Linked DNA regions of Mus musculus. The protein of the gene in region 1 interacts with the protein of each later gene in a biochemical or structural test. Links are inferred from orthologs where the notes say so. Each region holds a gene or a part of one and is shown on either strand. Other genes may lie near its edges.

What was found.
Region 2: the proteins of Tom1 (region 1) and Tollip form a complex in vitro, tested with the Homo sapiens proteins (3 studies listed by BioGRID and IntAct, with this or other methods). The link is inferred for Mus musculus from reciprocal best matches to the Homo sapiens genes TOM1 and TOLLIP.

Annotation. Positions count from the first base shown.
Region 1 is NC_000074.6:75,049,655-75,061,917, forward strand, and holds part of Tom1 (target of Myb protein 1), read left to right. Parts: intron 1-535; coding exon 536-614; intron 615-1,853; coding exon 1,854-2,003; intron 2,004-2,268; coding exon 2,269-2,403; intron 2,404-2,495; coding exon 2,496-2,642; intron 2,643-4,922; coding exon 4,923-5,039; intron 5,040-7,500; coding exon 7,501-7,634; intron 7,635-8,786; coding exon 8,787-8,820; intron 8,821-9,158; coding exon 9,159-9,252; intron 9,253-9,534; coding exon of another isoform or gene 9,535-9,606; intron 9,607-10,778; coding exon 10,779-10,899; intron 10,900-12,263.
Region 2 is NC_000073.6:141,879,488-141,890,441, reverse strand, and holds the end of Tollip (toll-interacting protein), read left to right. Parts: intron 1-844; coding exon 845-935; intron 936-5,860; coding exon 5,861-6,075; 3' UTR 6,076-8,862; downstream 8,863-10,954. UniProt on the Homo sapiens protein: Component of the signaling pathway of IL-1 and Toll-like receptors. Inhibits cell activation by microbial products. Recruits IRAK1 to the IL-1 receptor complex. Inhibits IRAK1 phosphorylation and kinase activity.

The DNA.
Region 1 (12,263 bases):
TTGGTTTGGTTTGGTTTGGTTTGGTTTGGTTTGTGGAGCTAAAGCAGAAGTTTTTATTTTGTCTCAGTCTTAATTGTGCACATCATGAGGAATGTGTGACGAGCCCACTCACTACATGGCCAGGGAACAAAAAAGTGACAGGGACAGAGTTCCATAGTGCCCTTCAAATTCACATCTCTGACAAAAAGAGCATCCAGCAGAGTCCAGCTCTTCTCCTAACCCCACCCCAATCCAGGGCCTTGCACATGCCAGACATGCAGTGCCATTGAACTGTAGCCTCAACCTAAGCCCACCTCAACATGTCTCAAGAGTGCCACTGTGCTGCTGAAAATTCAGGGTCTAAACCATATAACAGTACTGCCACCAAGAACTGAAGCCAGCTGCCGCTGGAACTGGCCAGGGAAAGACAGGGAGCCGTCTGAGGTGCTCTGAGTACAGGCTGTGTTCACTCTCCTGATCTTGGGCCCCTGGCCTTCTGTGCTGGGGAAGAAATTTCTAAACCTAAGCCCATCCTTCCTTTTGTCCTTTTTGCCAGCCCCAAAGATGCCTTCCGAGCAGTGAAGAAGCGAATTATGGGGAATAAGAATTTCCATGAGGTCATGCTGGCCCTTACGGTGAATATCCTGCTGCCTCTCTCATCTGTCCATCTCTCCATGATCTCTTCCATGGCTGGACCGTGGTCTGCTGAAAGCTGCTTCTCCTTAGTTAGGTCCAGCAGGATTCCCATCCATGCTTGGGTTTCTCACCTGAAGACTCAGAAGAAAGTGACCATGGGCAAATTGTTTTCCTGTTCACACTGTTGGTGAAGGTGGATGACAAAGCAAGGGAGCTAGAAAGGAAATTTCCAGCCTTAACATGGGGAGTAGATACACTGGGGCCACTTTCCTCTAAAACTGCACCCTAAAAAATGAACGTAAAACAAATGCCTGTGTCTAAGAACAGTGTTGACCTCAGTACTAAGACAGGCCAGCATGGGCCAAGCATCAGACATCCTGTCTTCAGAGCAACATGGCTGGAAAATAGGCAGGAGAACACCCTATCCCAGCCTCTACACGGTAGTGCCTAGATCCAGATGGCCCTGCGACCCTGCAAAGCACAAGCAGCTTCTGCTAGGCCTTGGGAAGAGGTCAGTGCTTGGTCCCTGGGTCATGATGTTACCAACCTAAGTTGTATCTGCTTCCTCCTGAATCTCTAAGCTTCCATACCAGTGTTTCGAAATGTATGGGTCACAACCCCTTTGGGGGTCAAATGACTTTTACCAGGGTCACATATCAGATATCCTGCATATCAGATGTTTACATTAAGATTCATTAAGATAACAGTAGCTCCGGGCGTGGTGTCACAGGCCTTTAATCCCAGCACTCGGGAGGCAGAGGCAGGCGGATTTCTGAGTTTGAGGCTAGCCTGGTCTACAAAGTGAGATCCAGGACAGCCAGGGCTACACAGAGAAACCCTGTCTCAAAAAAACAAAAAAAAAATAAAATAAAATAAAACAAAACAAAACAAAAATAACAGTAGCAAAATTACAGTTATGAAGTAGCAACAAAAATAATTTTATGGTTGAGGGGTCACCACCACATGAGGAACTATGTCAAAAGGTCAAAGCATTAAGAAGATAGAGAACCACTGCTCTAGACGATGTGAACTAGAAACCAGGGTTAGGTTATAGGCACTGGCCTAGTAGGAAGGGAGTCTTGTCTGTCCTGTCATGTCCCAGTCCCCTAGGAGGCAAGCCTCCAAATCCATCACCGTTTCCATTCTTATGTCCTAGGGGCTCCCTTCTGGAAGCCTCCTGTCTTCTGCTGGGCTTCCCTTCCCTGATGGGGCATTCTCTTGGGCACCTTGACCTACAGGTCTTGGAAACATGTGTTAAGAACTGTGGGCACCGCTTCCATGTACTGGTGGCCAACCAGGACTTTGTAGAGAATGTGCTGGTGAGGACCATCCTGCCGAAGAACAATCCACCCACCATTGTGCATGACAAGGTGTTGAACCTCATCCAGGTGTGCTCTTTGGCAGGGTAGGGTGTATCGGTGGCCTCAAGGGGTGGGGGAATTCTGGGGCTATTCTACTCTGCTAGTGAGCTGCTTACGTGTGCAGCAGGACTTATCACTGTGTGCTGAGCCTGGTACACGGGGTTAGAGGACCAGGCAACAGGAGGAAGAGGAGGAAAGCACTCTGTCCTCTGTCTAGGTGCCAGGGTCGGGCAGGCTCACAGAAAAGAAGGTGAGCAGTGGTTACAGGCAATGTCCCCTTGTCCCCTCTCAGTCCTGGGCTGACGCGTTCCGCAGCTCACCTGATTTGACAGGTGTTGTTGCTGTCTACGAGGACCTGCGAAGGAAGGGCCTAGAATTTCCCATGACTGACCTGGACATGCTGTCGCCCATCCACACACCCCAGAGAGTAAGGAGAATTTTGGGTGAGATGAGAATTATCCTGAGGGGGCTACAGTGCCTTTCCAGGAAGCCTCACTCACCCTGTCTTTTGCCCCTTAGACTGTATTCAACTCAGAGACACCATCCAGACAGAACTCTGTGAGTTCCAACACCAGTCAGCGTGGAGACCTGAGCCAGCATGCCACCCCTCTGCCCACTCCAGCTGTTCTCCCGGGTGACTCACCCATCACACCGACTCCTGAGCAGGTAAACAGACAAGCCTGTGGCAGAACCAGAAGATCCAGGGAGGTGTCAGAGATGGCCCCTAGCATTGTGGAAACTCCTTTGTCTTCTCAGCAGCCCATAGATGTGTACTGTTCATCCTATGGTCCGGATAAGGCTCAGACAGGCAAATCCACCAACTCAGAATCACACAGCTCATCAGAATCTACTGAGATTCAAGTTCCAGTCTCTCTGACTTCTAGAATGCAGTTCAATACTACTGTCATTTTCCAAAGTCTTCCCTCCATGGAGCCCTTTGTGGAGCACTGTGGGGAGGAAATGGCCAACAGGCAGGTGTTCCCTTCCACTTGGGCCTCTCCACTTTATCTATGTGCTAGTAGGCTCACATAGAGTTTCATCTGAATTGAGATTCAAGTTGAAGACAACCATAAAAGATCTGTATGCTTGCTGGGGTTGGTGGCATGCCTCTAATCCCAGCACTTGAGAGACAGAGGTAAGTGGATGTGTGTGAGTTCAGAGCCTCTGATCTACATGGAGACTTTCAGGCTAGCTAGGGATGCATAGTGAAACTCTTGTCATAGAAAGAAGGTGGGTGAGGAAGAGAGATCTGCATCTTCACAAAATGAGAAATTTTATTTGTACTCCACTGAGGCCTCCCACAATTCCTCATGAGGAAGCTTAGAAGCTTAGCTTGAGATTCTGGGGAAGTTTCTCTAGCCTATGGCTAGCTCTAGAGTATTACCAACTTCAGACCAGGTGGCTGTAATCTAGATTATTGGTCATTTGAGGTGTGGTACTGAGCTGGGCTTGAGGCCTTCTCAGACCTTAGACCATCACCAGTGAAGTATAAAGACTTAGCTGGAAGTAAAGATTCACAAACATGATACAAATGAGAAACACTTAATTCCCAAGAACTGTTCCCTGACCACTTGTGTATAGTGCATGGTCTCAGCCCAACAAAGAGAAGCTTGGTGCTGTCTTATACCACGTTATGAAACTGTACCACCACAAACATGACGAGAGCAGGCTGGCTCTCTGAGCATGTAAAGTCTACAAAATTGTAAAATTACTCTAAAATCCAAAACAAGTATCTATCTTGTTTCTGATTTTAACTAGTTTTTCTAAAGTCTGTATATTAAGACTAATTAGTGCTAGAAGGTTCTTACTAAGTAAAACTGAGTATTCTTGTTTGATTTCATAGCCCCTTTGGCCTCTTGGGCGTGTTAGGATGCTGTGGTGTGGTGATGTAATTCCTAGGCTCCTTTGTGGTTAGATCCCTTTGGGTTTGGATGGCAAGCTGGTGATGAGCAGCTTGTTCACTCACACCAGGAGTTATTAAACAAGCCGTTGTGCCTGGCACTGTGGGGTGTGCTCTTGGTCAGCTTCAATGGGCATGGATGGTGCTTGTCCCTGCGTGCCTGTTTCTTCATCCCTGAGCTCCATAAAGTTAGCCCACCTGTGATGGCGCATGTTCAGTGCTTGGCGCTTATTAACTAGTCAGGAAATGGGAGCTGCTGTCACAGTCATGAATTTAAATTCTGAAGTTTATTGTCACTCAATCACACAATTTAGAATATACCAGTATTTCCCCAAATGTAGTCTCCTAGCCACTAGATTTATGAGCCATCCCATTATAAGAGGATTCTTCAGCCAGGTACATCTGGGGGGTGGGGGTAGGGAGCAGTGCTTCATCTGCTTCTCAGTATTCAAAGTGAACACAGTGTCCTCCGAGTTCATAAAAGACACTGCAGAGTGGCCCTCACACCTCATCTGTTTGAGGACACTGACCACCATCATTGTGAACCTTGGCTCTTTTCGATCACTGGTACTAATTCACATGGGTATCAGGCCTTGCGCTTACTTTTGGATAAACCTGGGCCCTAAAGAATCTGAAGGTAAAGACACAGACAAAACCTACTCTGTCCTCCCAGGCATAAGGGGACTCTGCAACCTGCCTTCCTAATCCTTAGGAGAACCATCCCTAGGGCCTCATTAATTGCCATCTTGGCCCCAAGAGATGCTGGCACTCTTCCAACCACCCTCACTGGCTATTCCCCTCCGATTGTCACACGACTTTCAACTTGCCTCTGTTCCTGGCTCCTGGTTGGGAGATGGCAGCGGTTGGTAGCACCTCTGTGAGGGGCTGTGAAGTGGGAGGAAGCTTCTGCAGGCTCTTGATCCGCAGGAGTCAGGAGGGAAGCTGTGTGGAGAAAGTGTTGGCTGAATAGTGCCTGGGCCACACGACTGGAGGAGGCATGGGCTCTAGACTCTGGCTTTTCTCCCCCTTACAATGGTGCATTTCAGATTGGGAAGCTGCGCAGTGAGCTGGAGATGGTGAGCGGAAACGTGCGAGTGATGTCAGAGATGCTGACAGAGCTGGTGCCCACCCAGGTAGAGCCTGCAGACCTGGAGCTACTACAGGTGAGCAAACAGCCTGCCTCCAGGTTCAGCCCCCACCAAAGTGACCCTGTGTGCAGCCACACCTGTTTCCTCCCTGTCTACATTGCAGTCCTTTGTTTTTGCTGGGAGCTCTCAGGCAATAGAAAACATTACAACCAGGAACCTGGGATTTGCATCAGACAGGAATTCACATCTTAATTCTGCTGCTTTATGACTTGAACAAAACCACCCCTCGTTTTCTCCATCTGTGTGGCTGCTTTGATACAAGCAGGACATGAGAGTTAAAGGAGATAGTACATGTGAAGCATCTACTCCTCCGCCCAGTACTGGTGAGCACAGACAACACTGGGAAAAGCCAGAAGGGCCGATTCCCACCCGTCACAGTGTTGGCGGTGGCAAACAGGAGGGAAAAAGCAGTGTGGGCTTTGAGAGGAGTGACCATCCATCCAGTCTTGGGGAGCTGAGGCCAGTGGGAAATGCTGGATTTTGCTCCTGGGTGTCATATGATAGTCACCTGATCCTGTCTTCATATGGAGTGGGGCGCAGGACTGAGGGGGGTTTAGGCAGCCTTCCTGTAGGGGACACTGAGGAAGGCAGTGAGAAAGTCAGGAACTGACAAAGCCAGAGTCTCCAGAATGTGTAGAAGGACAGAATGCTCTGTGTGCAGAATGCTCTGTGTGCTGTCTGTATCGCCCTCCCACCAACCCTCAGAGAGCAGTTTTGAAGCCAGGTCTTTATGCCCCTGTGACTGCTCAGAGATCCTTATATTTGGGGGTGGGGGAATAAAGTAGGAGTATCTTAGCTGAGTGGACTCTTTGAGTGTGAGAACTAGATGAAGAAAGGAGGTTGACTAAGAGTTGTTATAGTGTTATATGTCCCAAGCCAAGTCCATGCAGATATGAGTAGTCTGGGATACTCAGAAGGCTGGAGCCAGCTGTCAAGGTGACACAGAGTCAGTGCCCACATAATGAGTACTCTTTGTATCAAGCTCAATGTAGGTGCTTGATATACATTCATTCATAGCCTAAACAAACCCATTCTCCAGATCAGGAAACTAAGGCAAAGAGACTGTAACATGCCTGTGGTTACTGTGGCTGGTAGGTAGCAAATCCAGGGTTTGTGACTTGTAGCAACGACTTCAGTCTAGGCTCTTCTTGTGTCCAGAGGGACCGATGAGGAAGCAGAAACTAATGTCAGTTATACTTCATCATAGGAGGAAGAGAAGGGGAGGCCAGAGATGTTGAAAGACTCCCTGTGCAGATGAAGAAACCCCAGGAGGCCTGGGTGGGGTGGGTGGGGAACAAGGTCCATGAAAAGACAGAGCTTGGTGAAGTGCCTCATCTTTGATGCTACAAGAGAAAGTGTGCTGGCATATCCATGGCAGGTGCTGGAGAAAAGGTGACCAGTCTCCCTACAGTTGCCTGTAGACCAAAGGAGGTTTATTTTACTTACTTATTTTTTAGTAAAGGTCTCATGATGCAGCCAAGCCTGGTCCTGCACATTCTCCATCCCCCTGTCTCAGTCCCTGACTATACGGGTCACAGATTCATAGCATAACACCCAACCTCTTAATCTTTTTCTTTTTTCCAAAACAAGTTTAACTGTGATTAAAACCCAATCAGTAACATGGTGCCTAAATACATGTAGGATCTAGAAACAGGAAACAAAAAGATATTAGCAGGAAACGTAGTTTAGTTGATTTCAGTGTTGATGCCTTGGTTTTGACAAATGTCAAACTGGGTAAAGGCACATGAGAACCTTGGTGCCATATTGCAGCTCTTCAATAAATCTGAAAGATTGTTCCAAAATAAGTTTTACTAAAAGAGAAAAAAGCCAATCCATGAGAAAAGTGGGGCAAAAGCTTGTGTGAAGTAACAGAGAAGTTAAACGTGTTCACACCCGACCCCATCCTCAGGTCCGTCATCCTCCTCACCCTCCTCACTCTTCTGTTTTCCCCTTAGGTGTGCATCTGTGACTGTGGTGTGTGTGTGAGTGAGACATGGCAATACTACAGCTTGCTATCGAAGTAAGAGATCAGCCTTAGGGAGCCAGCTCTCTCCTTCAACTCTGTTTGAGGCAGTGTCTCTCCTGTTTGTGCTACTTACCACATGGGCCAGACTGGCTGGTCCAGGAGGCTGAGGTTTTTCTAAGTAAGCAAACGTGGTGGCTAAAACTTGACTCTGCAGTCTGCACACAGTCCTGTTAAAGCAGCACAGTCATTATCAGGACTCAGTCCGGTACTTTACATGTTATTGTGAAGCCTAACACTTCCAGCTACTCCAGAAGTTGTGGGTCACCTGAGGCCAAGCCTAGGGGACAGTGAGAGCCCATCTCACAACTCAAAGACTGTAACCACACTGCAGCACCTGAGCAGTGATCTTGAGAACAGGCTTGTGGAGCCATGAAGACCCCTCTTCCAGGACTGTTGATGAGGAGTAGCCTTGTCCTTCGTGTGGCCTCAATGTCTCGCTCCTCCCCGTAGGAACTGAACCGCACCTGCCGTGCCATGCAGCAGCGGATCCTGGAGCTTATCCCACGCATCTCCAATGAGCAGCTGACGGAGGAGCTGCTCATGATCAACGACAACCTCAACAACGTGTTTCTGCGCCATGAACGGTAGTCCTGCCACACCTTCACCTGGGCCGTGGCCTCGGCTACTCAGTCATTTTCCCTGTGCCCTTTTCAGACATCAGCAAGCTACCAGAGCCCCCAGCTCTCTCCCCGTCACTGAGCTGCTTGGGTAGTGGGTAGTCATAAAAGCAGGAAGCAAAGTGCTCTGCTCTAGAAATGGTTATTATCTAGCCACCTCCCACTCCTTGTGTCTATTGTGTGTTCCCCACTTGCTGTGTGGTTTGCAGTCAGTCGAGAGGGGCTGGGCCCCTGAGGGCAACAGTTGGCCAGTTTTTCCTGTTCACTAGCCCAAGAGGATGCACATCCTCTCCTCCTTGCCATCTTGTTTTGTTTGTTTGTTTGTTTTGTTTTGTTTTGTTTTGTTTTGTTTTGTTTTTGAGACAGGGTTTCTCTGTGTAGCCCTGACTGTCCAGGTACTCACTTTGTAGACCAGGCTGGCCTCGAACTCAGAAATCCACCTGCCTCTGCCTCCCAAGTGCTGGGATTAAAGGGGTGCGCCACCACCGCCCCGCTCCTTCTTTGCCATCTTGAGGTGCACTGTGTGGTAGTCCCCCAGTTCTCTAGCATCAGGCCCCTAATTTACCAGTTTGTTCTGGTGCCAGCCAACTGCTACTCAGTGCCTCAACTCAGTCATCACCTCAGCTAGCAGGCAGGTGCCCAGAGACATTAGAACAGAAAATGAATTCAAAAGTGATGTCCTTTATACCAGGCCAGAACTCCAACAGGCTGGTCACTAAGGTCTTCTCCACCTACCTCCCTAGCCCCTGGCCCCTAAGTAGTCAGGGTTAGAGACAAGTGGCCATCTTTGAGAGCCAACCATACATTCTCAAATGTAGAGTAAGTAACTAGACAGTTGACAAAGCAGTGCTCAACTCTGCTTGCTGAGTGTCCCTTTCTTTTGTGTTCCTGTGACCTTGTTTCTTGCTGACCATTGCAAAGTGTTCCTATGAGTGATCAAATGCCTCCCAGCCCTGTGCAAGCGAAACAGGGGCTCTGCTAGTGATAGCATGAGAACAGCGAGCATGCGCTGCATCTGTGAGGGTAGACCAGTTATCTCCTCATCCTGGTAATGATCTGGGGTCCTCTGGGAACTGTGTCCATCTGTTCTTTTTGACTGGGGTATTTTCTGTCTTGTAGGTTTGAACGCTTCCGAACAGGCCAGACTGCTAAGGTAAGAGGCAACTCTTGTGGGACTGTGTCATGCTTTATTGATAGAAGTGAGAGGGAAGTTCTCACCGTCTCCCTGATGCCTTCCTTGTAAAGGATACTGGTGCTTCTTTTTAGGCTCATAGGGAAGTCTCTGACTTCTTACACCACTATCCCTTTAAGGGAAATAAGGCTCTGCCACCACCAGTTTGTACCTCAGGGCCTTCCCAGCCTCCCAGGGGTGTAGCTGAGCTGGAGCCCAGGTGGAGGAGAAAGTCCCCAGCTCCCATTCAGACATGTTGGGGCCTGGAGGCAGATCTCTGCATCCTGAAAGGTTCATCCAGGCATCTCCCCTCACCTCAGGCCTCCAGTGAAGCTGAGCTAGCTACTGACCTGATTGACATGGGTCCTGACCCCGCAGCCACAAACAACCTCTCATCTCAACTGGCAGGAATGAGTAAGTATGCTGGGGACTCCAGCCAAGGGTATGTTTCAATGTGTGGGTAGCTTCAAAGTTCCTGTGCTCGCCAACAGCAGAGCATTGGTCCACATCTTACTTTGCTGGGATCCCAAGCCAAATCTTGCTACAGGATTGGGCAAAACTTGTGAGAATGCCCTGGGAGTACCAATGTCCCTGAGCCCCTTGGATAATATAAATCCCACTGCACTCTAACCATCCCTCTGCCCTGCCTCCCCATCCCCTCCATCCACCCCACCTGAACATCCTGGGGACCATCAGACAATCGACTGCTCAGCCTCAGTAATCACTTCCTACTTGAAGAAGGAAAGAAGGAATGGGCCCCTCTTCAAGGTTGGAAGAATAGAGCAAGAAACTGCCAGAAAGCGGCTTCTATCAGGGCGAGGCCAGAAGGCGCTCCGTTCCGGTGACACTGCAGGATAGAACTCGGGACCTTGGCCATGCTAGACAATATTTTTGCCACTGAGTTAAACTCCAGCTTGGTTTCCTTTGGTGCTTTGTTCTGGGGAAAAAAAAATAGATAATTTAGGTTTGATTTGATTTTGCTGGCTTTTGATCCAGGTTGTTGCTAAGTGCTCAGTAGCCTGTCTAGGTAGGCCTCAAACTTTCTCCATCCTCCTGCCTCAGTCTCCCAAAACCTGAGATTACAGGTGGGTATACCTGTAATATTAGCAGTCATTATCTTTTTTGTTGTTCCTGGGCTGCTACTGCTGCTGCTGTTGTTGTTGTTGTTTATTTTGGGTGTTTTGTTTTGTGCTGGGGATTAAGCCTCAAGCTAAACAAGTGCTTTACCACTGAACTATATTCCAACCCTTTAATTTTGAGATAGGGCCTCACAAATTTCCCCAAACTGTCCTTGAATGTGCTTAGTAACCTAGGCTATTCTCAGTCTCCCCTGGAGCTGGGCTTACAGGCTGGCACCACAAGGTCTGCTTACAATTGAGTTTAATATTATTGACTGCCTGCTCCACGCCAAACCCCAGAAATGCATTCTGCTCCCACATGTGTGAGCAGTCGGATCTGAGCACTGTTCTGCTGCTCAGCCTCTTCCATTAGCTCAGTGGTTCTCAACCTTCCTAATGCTTTAACACGGTTCCTCATGCTATGGTGACCCCCAACCATAAAGTTATTTTCATTGATAATTCATAACTGTAATTATGCTACTGTTATGAATTATAATGTAAATGTCTGATATGCAACCCTGTGAAAGGGTCATTCGATCCACGGGTTGAGAACCACTGCTCTAGCAGGTGATACAGGCAGGGATTTCCTGTTTTCTAATCCTCACCACAGCGGGAGGAGGCGGCTGTGGTACCACTTTAGAAGTGAGCACACTCAGCAGAAATGAAGGGCTTCCTACTGCTCTCGGGCAGTAGTCGGCTTCCCATCCAAATCCCTCCACCTCACCCCTAATGCTCTTCAAGCAAGCAGCCCTAGTCCCAGATGGAACATGGGAAGAGCAAATGGAACAGCAGGCCTCTTGCCTGGCCCTTCTGTCTCTGCAGACCTTGGCTCCAGAAGTGTGAGAGCTGGCCTGCAGTCTCTGGAGACCTCAGGTCACCTGGAAGATGACTTTGACATGTTTGCTCTGACTCGGGGCAGCTCACTGGCTGACCAACGGAAAGGGTGAGTTACCTGTTCCATCCTGCTCTCCTGAGGGGGAGGGCTCTCTGTTGACAAGAGCATCTCTTGAGATCCCTGAATCTGGAATGGAAATGGGCAGGGCAGGAGAAAAGACGCACAGTCCCTAAGTTCAGTCCAGCATGGCCTGGATAACACTGTGGTTCAGGGACAGGAAGGGATACCAACATCTGACCAGAACCAGAAGCAAACCTCTGAGGGATTGGAAGGTTGGGAGCCTCTGACCACTTCTACGTAACATTTTGTCTGGCTGGCCCACCATCTTCCATAATGTGCAGCCAGTACCAAGCCCCCAGGGGCAAGGAAGGCTCCTAAGAAAGCCTTAGTGACTTCTAGGTTTTGACTATTGTCTCATAACCATCCTTCATCCCTAGAGAAGACTCCGGCTGCACTGGGGTAAAGCCTTCCCTGTGAGCTGTCCATTTTCAGAGAGCTGTTGTCATCAGTCAGACCCTGTAATGGAGCAGGCCTCCAAAGGCACTCCCTGCTCTGGCAGATCTCATACTAGCTCCTCATGTGCTCGTCAAGGAAATAGCTTAGCTGATATTTTTCATCCCTTTGCTTGTAACCCTGTTGGCTCAGCTATGTGGAAGCTATGGTTCTTACAGCCAAGGAAAGTTCTAGATTAAAAAAGCCTCCTAGCTGTTCCCACTTAGTGTCTTAGTGCCTATTCTTTCTTTGACAACTTGGTTATTGGACAGTAGAAACTGGCCAGAGAGGATTTAGGCCAGACTGGGGTTTAGGAAGCATTTCAGGTTCTAGGAACAGGAATGTGAAGGCTTGGAGGCAAGGCAGATGAGCTGAGCTCTAGCCCTTCACAGGCACATGTCTGTGTATAGGAGCAGATGCTGAGAAGATCACACAACAGTTCTTCCCTTTGACTGGTGTAACTTCCCTGAGCCCCCTTAGGCCTTTGGTTTTCCTCACACTACAGATTCAGGTACAATCTGACGCAGTCTGCAGCCAGCCAGTTCCACACTAAGCTGTAAACCAGGTTTGTCTTTTCCCTCAGCAGTCTGTACTCCCCAGCCCAGAGGCCTCTGGCCTAGCAGCTTACGATAGCCATGGTATTAAGGATGCTGCTGAGGCTGCTGTGCAGATGAAAGCTAATGAGTCTAGTGGGACCCACACTCAGGAGGATGGAGTGTCCACATAGGCACCAGTGTACAAAACAACTAGGCACACTGGAGAGTCCCGAGTGTTTAACAGGTCTGACAGCATGGCTGGGGTACACTGCTTCACCACCATACCTCCACAGGGAAGGCACACATGCAGTGGTTCTTTTTTTTTCTTTTTTTTTTTTTTTTTTGGTTTTTCGAGACAGGGTTTCTCTGTGTAGCCCTGGCTGT
Region 2 (10,954 bases), on another chromosome or scaffold:
CCTGTCTTTAACAGGTGCTTTATGTAGCATAGGTCCATTTTACACTATCGCATCTACAGTTCAAGATTATTAGAGCTGGTCCAGGAGAGGTGGCTTAACAGGTAAGAGCACTGCTGCTCTTGTGGAAATTTCCAGGTTTGATTCCCAGCCTCTACATGGTGGCTCACAACCAACTGTAACTCCAGTTCCAGGGGATTCAGTACCTTCACTGGCATCAGGCACACACATAATGCACATATATACATGCACACAGAACACTAAGACATATTAAACAAACAAACAAACCAATTCAGTATTTCTGAGAGAAGCTTCTGATACTTATGCAGTCTCCAGAACAAACCGTGAAGGGGGCTGTGTGAGAAGCGGTGGTGGTTGCAGCTCATGTGAGGCCAGTAGTTGATATCATTTGTTTTCTTTAATCTTCACCCTGACTTTTGTTCTCACTGAAACTGAATCTCATTCCTCTAGATTGGCTGGCTAATGAACTTGAGGGATCTTCTTGTCTATGACTCCCTATCCCTTGGATTATAGATATGAGCTACCAAACATGGCTTTATGCATAGATGCTGGGGATTGAACTCAGGTCCTCATGCTTGTGCACCACTTTCCTAACTGAGCTAGGAGTCTGCAGCCCAAGTTGTCTAGCTGAAGGGAGGCAGTCTGCGGGAGTGTTGGTACAGATGAAACCAGAGGCCAGGAATACTACATTCTTGCTGAGGACTCCATGTCTTGGGTGTTAATGTCTGGGCTGAGGCTAGGACCACTCCTCTGATACCAGAAGTAACAAGATTGACATATGGTGTGGTCCTCCTTGACTGACATGTTTTTCTTTGTTGTGTTTCAGTCCCTCCCAGCTGCCATGATGATGCCTCCTCAGCCTGTGGTCCTGATGCCAACTGTGTACCAGCAGGGTGTTGGCTATGTGCCCATTGCAGGTGTGTACTGCTTCTTTGGTAGGCAGTCCTGGGACAAAGTAGGACAGGAGGAGGGAAGGGCCTGTGAAGCTTGAGTAGTGTAGAATTGTGTAAGCATGGCTGCTTTAAATGAGGATCCTTCTAAAACTTATTCCAGTGTCATATCTGAATTATTTATGCATACATAGGCAATAGTGTTTGCCCTAATTATTGCCACAAGTAAGGTGAGTTGAAATTTTTGGAGTTGTAGAAACATTGTCATTTTTATGAATGAGTTACTGGAATAAGACAACCTGGTTCCTGTTAGACAACACTCACCCTGAGCACCTACATCTTAAAAGAAAATCATGGCTTTCATTGAAAGTATTTACCCATATAAATTAATAGCTGCTTGGGTCATAAAGTCAAGATGTGGCTTTTATGTATTTTTTTAAATTTCTAATCTTCCTGTGGCTTTCACAGTGCCTGGTATCCAACTCGTCCTCCTACCAGAATAGGGCAAGCCAGATGAGCAGATGAGATCACACAGCTCCTTTCTTGGCTTCAGCCAACAGGAAAAACTGTGGCTCTGAGAGTAGACATCAGGGCAGGCCTGTAGTCTCCCTAGTCTCTTGCTAGGGTCCAGGGAACTGTAGTCCAAGCAGACCATGCTAGTTCTGCTATCCCAATGGGAATGGCCAGTCTATAGGGCAGGAGGGAATATGAGATCCTGGATGGGACTTGGCCTGCATGGTCCCTGCTAGCAGGTGCTCAGGGTGAGTGTTGCCTTGTATCTAAGACAGCACAAAGCTGCTATGGCTCAGTGGTGTGGGGTCTGAGGGTCCCACACAGCCAGAATGGAGTGACTCATTAGCCTTTATTAGACTCAGCCTCTATGCCAGCTGAGCTAGGGAACATGGTGCAGGACTTGGGAATGAAATCCACCCACACATATCCTGAAAACAGGCCTGACAGACAGAACTTGGGCCTTCTACCTATGACAAATCATCCTGCAGGAACAAAGGGCAGCACTTTGCAAAGGGAAGGGAGGGTAAGTTCACAGGCTTCTAGGCCCCTGTAGTATTTGGAATGGAGTAGGTTTGCAGTAGAGGGCAAACCAGTCAAGTGGGGAGTGACCCAGGGCCTTAGAGAAACCTTAAAGCAGTGTGGTTGTTCCCCAAGAGCCTTAGAAATCTGGAGAGTGGAGTTTTAGGATGTGTGCTTTCTAGAGTCCCCAATACAAGGTCCTGACCTGTCCAGTTCAATGATCGGATCCTGAGGTATGAGGGTTGGGTTCCCAGAGTGGCTCCCAGGTTCCTTTTTGAACTGCAGTCCCATCAGTCTGTGTATGGAATTTGTGGAGGTCTGTGGAGGGAGAAGCAAGCGGAGTGAAATGAGCACAAAGGGTACCCCAGTGTAGCAGAGGCACTGGGGTCACAGATGGAACAATGCAGCAGAAGTCTCTTCCCTCAGTTTCTCAGGCCAGGAGTCAAACGGGCTGCAATCCTTTCTGAAGCTCCAGAGAGGGAACTTCTAACCTTTTCCAGATCTTGATGTGACTTGGTTTCTGGCCATATCTCCCTGGTCCGTCTTCATATTCTTGGAGTCACCACGCACTTTTTGTGTTTCTGTCCTGTAAGGTCACTGGACAGGGGCTTTTCTGCTCCTTCATGGTCTTATCCAAACAAGGTTGCCCTCTTTCTAAGTAAAGTCAATCTAGAGGCACTGGGGCGGGGGTGGGGTGGGGTGGGGGTGGTTTGCGGCAGACTTGAGCATATCTTTGGGTGGTGGTAGAGGGTGTTGAGGTGGGGAGCAACAAAGACAAATTTCTGTCCAGTTACAAACAGAAGAACTACTTCTAAACAAAAGATAAAAGCTGTTGACTAGTTTACTTTCTTGGCTCCTGTCCTTCATTCTCTGTAATGCCTCTAGAGTGTATTTTAGGGAAGGCTCCTCTATAAATAGGCTTTGATCCTCACTTTTGATGTACATTTTGAAAGTTAGAAATAGTTTCCTACTGATAGAAAAGCTGCCACAGAAATAAAAGGATATTTTTCCCTTGGAGACCAGCCTTGATGTCTGCTCTGTCCCCATGCAAGCATGCTTCCTGGAAGTGAGGACACTTCACAAGGGGACGTGCTGCGGACCACAGGGCTGGTGGTCTGGGTCTTCCCAGAACTTGTAACAGGCTCTGCCTGCAGTTATTTGTGCTGCCCTGTTCACTATCTGGCCAGGAGAACCCAGATGCTGCTTAGAAAGCTGTTCTCTTTCATTTCTGCTGCTCACACTGTAGTATTCGGTAAGGGGACACAGTTTGCCTTTTCATTCTCTTGAGAATCCTTTCGTATCACCTCGAGGACTGTGTTCAAGGTTACAGTTGCTGTCTGTTTTTGTCAGACTGAGCTGTCCACTGATAATTGTAGCAGTGTGGACTTGAGGATTGTTTTATTTTCTGAGCTCTTAATTTGTTACTATATTGTTTTGTCACTCAGTGATCCCAGATTGGCCAAGCCTTTAGGCTGAATTGTGTGCTTTTTGATGTCTCACATGCTGTGTGAGCTTCCTGACTTTGGCACAGGAAGCCTCTGGCTATCTTGTACATTTCCTTCTGCCCCAGAATTAGCCACTTCTCTCTGAACCCAGGGAGAATCAGTTCTAAAAAAGTTCTTGAATGGTTTTTTGTTTTTTATTTATCTTAATCATTGGGGGCATTAATAAGCATGTTACTTTGTTGAAACTTAATGCCCAGCTTTGGTTCTTATAATTCCTGTATGTTTATGATGGCAGAGCTGTCCTAGCAGAATACTTGGGGTATCCTGTGCAGAGACGATTAGGGTATGCCATCCGGTCGATGTGATGTGTCCACAGAAGCAGGAGCAGCAGTTCATTCAGGGCATTTTTATTCCTGTTGCTCTCAGGTTTCTCAGGAGTGAGGTCAAGTCACGTGGTGTTTCTTGCTTCATATCAGCTTCTGCTGCAGTTTGCTCTCTTGGGAAGATTCATACCCTTGACTATTCACAGTGTGACGTATGTGTACACAGACCATGCATGAAACAGGACTACACTCAAGCACAGTTAGACAGGAATGAGGAGACTCACACGTTAGCCTATTCTCACTGCCTGTTGGTCTACCCAGGGAACAATGCATAGCTAGTGGGTGCCTGCTGCTTTATAGACCCTGTTGTCTATGTCTGAGGTTTTGAATTGGAGATCACAGCTGCTGCTTTGCAGAGCTGAAGCTGAAGGTGGAGGATCAAGGGTTACCTGTGTGTTTATGAGTCCATTAGTTTGAGAGCTTGGAAATGTCCTGTAATATGCAGCCTGTCCCTGAGCTCCCTAGTCAGCATGGGTAGCCCCAGAAGTTTTTAGCTGTTGGTGTCAGTTCTGGGTTGTTGCAGCAAGGCCGTTTAGGACCCAGGCTGTCTGTACTGCCATGCTAAGCACCAGTTTTTCTTGAATGGAAAGCTCCTTTGCTTTTTTTTTCTGAGTGGCATCCTATTGGTGAAAAGGCTCTTGTTTTACTGACCTGTGTCTGCGTACTGTCTATAATGTGTGCATTGTAGCTAAGTGCCCTGCTATTGGGAATGAATTGGTCCTACTCTATCAGTTTGTGTCCATTTATGACAAGGCGTCAAAGGGTTATGCCATTGACTATGATTTGCTTCATGCTCTAGCAGAGGCATGATTTTGCCAGCAATAGATAGTTTCTTGTGTAGTGTTTACAACTCTGGAGACATTTCAAAAGGTATATAAGTGCTAGAGCCCCGAGAGGCAGGGTGGGTTGTTGTTTGTTGTTGTTTGTGTTTGGTTGTGGTTTGTATGTGCAAAGAAGAAACAAGAAGTAGTTAGATATGCTAATGGCAAAGATCAAACTTGCCCCAAGGATCTTGATGCCCCTAATCAGCATGAAGTAGTCTAATGATAAGCCCTCCCTCCTTTCTATCCTGTTTTTCTGTCCTATCTAGTGTTAGGAGTTCAAAAGGATGGAGAAAGGTAGAAGAAAGAAGAACCCACAAAGTAACAAATGCCAGCTACACCACTATCTGGTGACAACTTGTAAGGTGACAGACTGACGACAGCCTGTCTAGGTCAGTCAGGACAGAGACATGAAGGTGATGGCCTGGCCCAGAGGGTACTTAGGAAACCTGCCTCTGTTTCTCAATTTGTACCTCTTCATCTATCACAAGGTGCAGGGAGCCATGTAGCATCAGTGCTAAGCCCTTTGCCAGCAGCCTTTTTTGCTCTCATGGCAAAAGGATTAGCTCCCGTGCCCCACTGGGGGCCTTGGTACCTCAGGCTGCTGGAAAGTGATGTACTTTCTGATATGTATTGTCTTCATTGTGAAAGGCTAATATGCAGCTTTTCTTGAAGTTTTCAGGGAGTACTTTATGTAGCTATACCTTGCCATATGCATGACTATTGTAATGCCTTTGTTAGGCTGTGAAGGTGAATTCTAGAATCTTGACACAAGTGGACTTTGGAGTATTGGGTAAAACAAGCATACTAGTTTGTTGTCTGCATTCTCAGTAAAGACTCATGTCCGTGATGAGTCTCCTAAGTTCTTGAAGTAGCACATGTGGTTACCAAATTTTCATCTTGCTCCCTGTAATTTTTGACTAGATATATTCAACTTGAATTTTTGTTCAGAAAGAAAATACCTCAGGAGAGGGAGCCTCAGTAGTGAGGAGGATGGCCCATCCCATCTGTCATGGGCATCCCTGTGGGATCTGTTTTCCAGTCAGATTAAGGTAGCCTTTTCCCTTGAGGCCAGTGAGATGTATTATTTCTTCCTTTGGCACTGCAGCTTTGTGATCCCACTGTCTCTGTCCTGGAACTCACTCTGTAGACCAGGCTGGCCTTGAATTTAGAGACTCTCCTGTTGCCTTACAAGTACTGGGATTAAAGTCAGGCACCACAACACCTGGCTGAACCCACTCTTTTTAACCAACCTCAACTTTTGTTTTCAGGGATGCCTGCTGTCTGCAGCCCTGGCATGGTGCCGATGGCCATGCCCCCACCAGCTGTGGCTCCTCAGCCCCGCTGTAATGAAGAGGACCTCAAAGCTATCCAGGACATGTTTCCCAACATGGACAGGGAAGTAATCCGTTCTGTGCTTGAAGCCCAGAGAGGGAACAAAGATGCTGCCATCAATTCCTTGCTGCAAATGGGTGAAGAGTCCTAGACCCGCCTGTGGCCCTTGGCTTCACACCACTGACCCTTGGACTTGTCCACCCAGGGCTCCCCAGGGTCACCATCCCCACAAGATTCCAATGAAAGACCATCCACATACCCCTTCCTTGGACATCTGCGCCGCCCCTTCCTACATATTTCGGGGATGCATGTGGATTTTTGGTTCTAAGCAGGCAGTCCTCTTCATTGTTGCTGGGGGACAGAGTTAGGGGACAGTTCTCTCCTAGTCTCTAGCTGGGTGATGGTGGCATGGCCCTGTTATTGCACAGATCAGTGGTCCTGTTTGGGGACCTGCATCTCCTGTCCTCACCCTATTCTGGAAAGCATTCTTACAGAAAGCAACTGCCTCTGCCAAGATACTAGAAATTGTACAGCATCCTTCTGAGTTGATGGATGGATGGCATGGAGTTACTCAGTCCAGCTGGGATGGTTGTTGAGGGTGCACTGAGTTCATGTGCACTTACTTACAGGTTATTTTTAGAACTTTCAAGCTAAAAGCTCCTTCCCTCTTCTGATGTTGTATGTGAACATGGGCCCCTCAGCTAGTCCTGGCCAGTGAGATATGCTTCCCAGCCATATCCAGTGGGTCTCTAACCTCCTGTCTAGCTTATCTGCCACTGTCTGGCTAGGCTTCAGCCACAGAAATCCAACTTGAATACAGAAGGTATCCAGACCTGGTGCTTGGTTGGCCAGGCCCCACATTAGCCCTCACTGCTGGAGGCTGCTTTCCACATCCTCTTGTTTAGTACCAGCATCATGGGTCTTACTCCAGGGGCTGTTCTTGTTGATAGACCTTCATCACAGAGCCCAGAGTCAAGCGAAGGAGATGGGTGGGTGTGGCACTATGTGCTTACTACTAAAATTCAAGCATTGTGACACTACTGACCTGCAGTATACTCTGTGGACCCATACTGTAGCTTGGCTTGAGTGATAAAAATTCATGCTTAAATTAAACTTTCATAAAGGTAGAGGTGCCTGTACCTGACCAGTGGATATTGTATAGTGTATTTTAGGTTGCAAACCTTTGAGCCCGTGACCTGGCCATACATGTATTTAGGGAGAAATTGAGTGGTGCCTTGTGCTAAGATACAGACCGTGAAAGCTTTCTCAGAACCAGTACTGTCACAAGGTGCTGTTAGGAAGCTCCAGCATTGCCACAGGGTTATGGTGGGACAGTTTTGCCTTACATTGCCGTTACTTTTTGTTTTCTGAGAATCTGCACACCCGGTTTGGATATGTGATCCACCAATAAGGGCATGAAGGTGACTCCTAGCAGTTTGGACTGTTGTGAAGGACTTCAAATAAGAAAATTAGTGCTTCAGTTTTTGGTCTTTGCCTCCTAAAAACGCGGTAAAATATCCTACTTGCTGTTATCTACAGGGGTGCTTTTTGTCAAATGTATTGTTTATAAGTATTTATTTTTGTAAGCCTAAAGGCAGTATGTGGTGATGGTGAGCATGGGATGGTGGTAACAAGCACTTTTCTTTAGTTGTAGGTCTTTAAACCTTTTAACTGCAAAATGGAGAAGAAAGACCAATGTTTATTAAATAGATTCAACCACTTACTTTAACACAACCAGGCACTGGAAGCCTCCATTCTAGACTGTTGATCGGCCTTGTGCTTGGTAAGCAGATGCCCTCTTGCAGGGTGGATGAGTCAGGCAGGCAGAACCTCCTTAAGTGGTCCACTTAGTGTTACCAGCAGACTGCAGACACTGCAGAGCAGGAACCTCACTCAGTACCTGTCTCTAGGTCTCAGGTGTGGCGGCTGTGTGCATCCGCATCTGCCTTACGGAGGTATAGGTTGAACACAGGGCCACTTTGTTCTGTGAGGTTCTATAGGAAGCATCACGATTTGCTGCCAGCCCCTGAGCAGTCCCACAGCACTCAGAGGCAGCGTTCACTAACTTACGACTGCTTAAATGAGGAAGAGTGATGGTTTTAAGACAGATTTAAGACTTGAGCTGAACACAGACTCTTCCCTTTGTCATGAACATTTTATTTTTTTAATAGATTGAAGAAAGATCACATTTTATAAGGCCTGAGTGATACTCCTAGGTTTTGCTGTTTTTTTGTCTTGGAATTTCATGTCAGCGCCCATCTAGTGCAAGGAGAGAGGCAGCACTTGTCAGCGCCTGTGTAGGTACCAGGGCATCAGAGCATGGCTTGTTGGCTTCCATCCCATCCTGAATCTTGTTGAGATGAAGAGTCATCCCTAGAAGGAGCTCAGAGGCAGAGGCCACAGCCGAGTCAGACAGGCTTCTGCATGGGGACCAGGCTCTCACTGGGTGTAATTGCTGCTCTTGCCAAGTTTGAAGATTGATGTTGGTAGCAAAATTTCTCAAGGTGTTCACTGGAGCCCCCTCCCCTCGGGCCAGCTCTAGTGTAGGCATGCATCTAGGGATGGCCTGGCCTGTTTTCTTCTCTGGACATGTTGGTTGGCTGAAGTTGTAACCTGCTGCACGCTTGTGGGCTGACATGGCCAGAGGCTTTCATCTCACCATGTGAGTGATGCCTACCCGATGACAGAAGTGTTGTGCGACTGGGCTCTGCCCTCGCCCTCCCAGGCCACCCTTTACAGACACTGGTATCATCTGGTACACTGTCTGGAGGTTGGTGGGAATGGTTCTCAGAACTGTCTGTGATTATTTTGGGAATGGGGGGGTCCATGTCCATATTTTTCTTTGATTATATGATATATTTTTACTTTTCAGCCTTCTAATTTAATAAGTGGTCTATATAAAATAGAAAAATAAAGTCCTCTGAGGAAATGTTTACTATTTTTGTTCTTGAGTATTTTTTTAAACTTTTTATTAGTTCTTTGTGAGTTTCACACTGTGCACCCCAGCACCCCAATCCGAGTTATCTCCCTCTTCCCCCCCCCCCCCCAGTACCTGCCTTTCACCCTTGCAACCTCCTTCCCCAACAGAGGCGGAAAATATCTTGTTGTGGAAGCTGTAGTGTGTTCCACTGTGTTCCACAGTATATCCTTTTGTCTATGCTTCTTGCAGATGTTCATTGCAATGAGTCATTGGTCTAGTATGAGACCTCTGGCTTCTGCTACACCATCTATACTGGAGCCTCATTGGGACTCCTCTAGCCTTTCCTGTTGGTGCCCTGTGTCATGGAGATCCTGCAGCTTTGGATCTGTAGGACCAGCCCCTTCACACACTCCAGCAGTTTATCAAGCCCTAGCTCTGGGCCTGAGAAGGTACCTGAGCTGGGGACAGAGCCAGCTCTTCAGCTCTCATGCTCTTGGTTGGCTCATCCGTGTCTGCACTGTCAGGTCCAAATGTGTTGCCTGGGTGAGGCGCAGGGCCTGTTCTCCTGCTCTCTCTCCAGCCTGCTGTGGGTAGTTAGGGCGAGTGGAGAGGAAGAGACCTCTCCCTGATCCATGCCACCAAACAGGAAACAAATGGCAGGGCCACCTCTCCTATACTCATAACCCTGGGACTGAGTCACCTAAAACTCCCACCACCAGAGTCAGTTCTACTTTACTTTTTGTTTTCTAGGTGATGTTTAGGGCCTGTTTTTCCAAGTACTGCAGCTAGCTGAGGATAGGGGTGAGGGGTGAACTCTCCTGCTCTCACACCCCCAGGCTCTCCTATGATGCCCCCCCAAGGGTAGGGCCAGTTCTGCACAACCCTCAAACATCAACATGTCCCAAGGTATCAGCTCAGACCAGGGACTCCACCTGGCTTTTGATAGTAACAGACCCCTCCTGCTACTGCAGGGCCATGGAACCTGATGTGTCCATGAGTGACAGCATAGGCCAGGACTCTCCCATGATCCCAGATGGTATCACCAGTTGCTTGCATCAGGCTGTTCCTCACTACCCTTGAGTCTCCAGTTCTGCCTTTCTTTATTGTGCCTACATTCCTGTTTCTCTTCCATTTCTCTACCACTTGCTTGTTCCTCTTAGTGACACCCAAGGTTTCTGAGAGTCTGGGGTCAGCTTCCGGGTGGTTTCAGGAGTTCTATGCCCTGCCTGTGCATTATGGTACCAGACTGGTGGTCATCTCAGGCTAGCCCCCTGTCTGGGCCTAATAGTGCAATTCTAGTTGTGTTCTTAGTTCACTCCTTATCCGGGTCCACCTGTGTGGCCCTGTATAGGGGTTGTCTGTTTCAGACTCTCCTCCTGTTCCCTGTGGGCTCTGTTAGAAAAATATCCTGCTGGAGACTGTGTGGCCTGGCAGGAGGGAGCCAAAGAGTAGAAGAATCCTGTTTGGGGCCACAGCTGTAGTCAGGAGGGAGATGGGCACAGCGCTGGGCATATGTGGATGGATATTGGTCTGAAGCCTCAGGTACAAGATGATTGATGGCAGTCCTGCAGCCTTGACTCAAGAATGGGACTGTTGTCAAGCTGGGATGTTAAAAGAGTGTGGTGGTTTGAAATGCTTGGCCCAGGGAGTGGCACTATTAGGAGGTGTGACTTTGTTAGAAGTATGTCACTGTGGGGTAGGCTTGGAGACCCTCCTAGCTGCCTTGAAGTCAATCTTCTGAGTATCTTCAGATCAAGATGTAGAACTCTCAGCTCCTCCAGCACCATGTCTGCCTGGACTGCTATGTTTCCCACCTTGATGATTAATAATGGACTGAATCTCTGAACCTGAAAGCCAGCTCCGATTAAATGTTGTCTTATATAAATGAGTTGCCTTGGCCATGGTGTCTGTTCACAGCAGTAAAACCCTAACTAAGACAAAGAGTTAAGATTTTCATCCCCAGCTCCAGTTAGGAAAAAGCTGACCTGACAGAGACAAGAAGGCAAGGGATGAGCTACAGGAATTCATGATTCAGTTACTCCCTGCTGTCTTAGTTTGTGGTCCACAGTCAGGTAGTCCAGATTCTGGGGCATGCAGGAATAAAAGCATT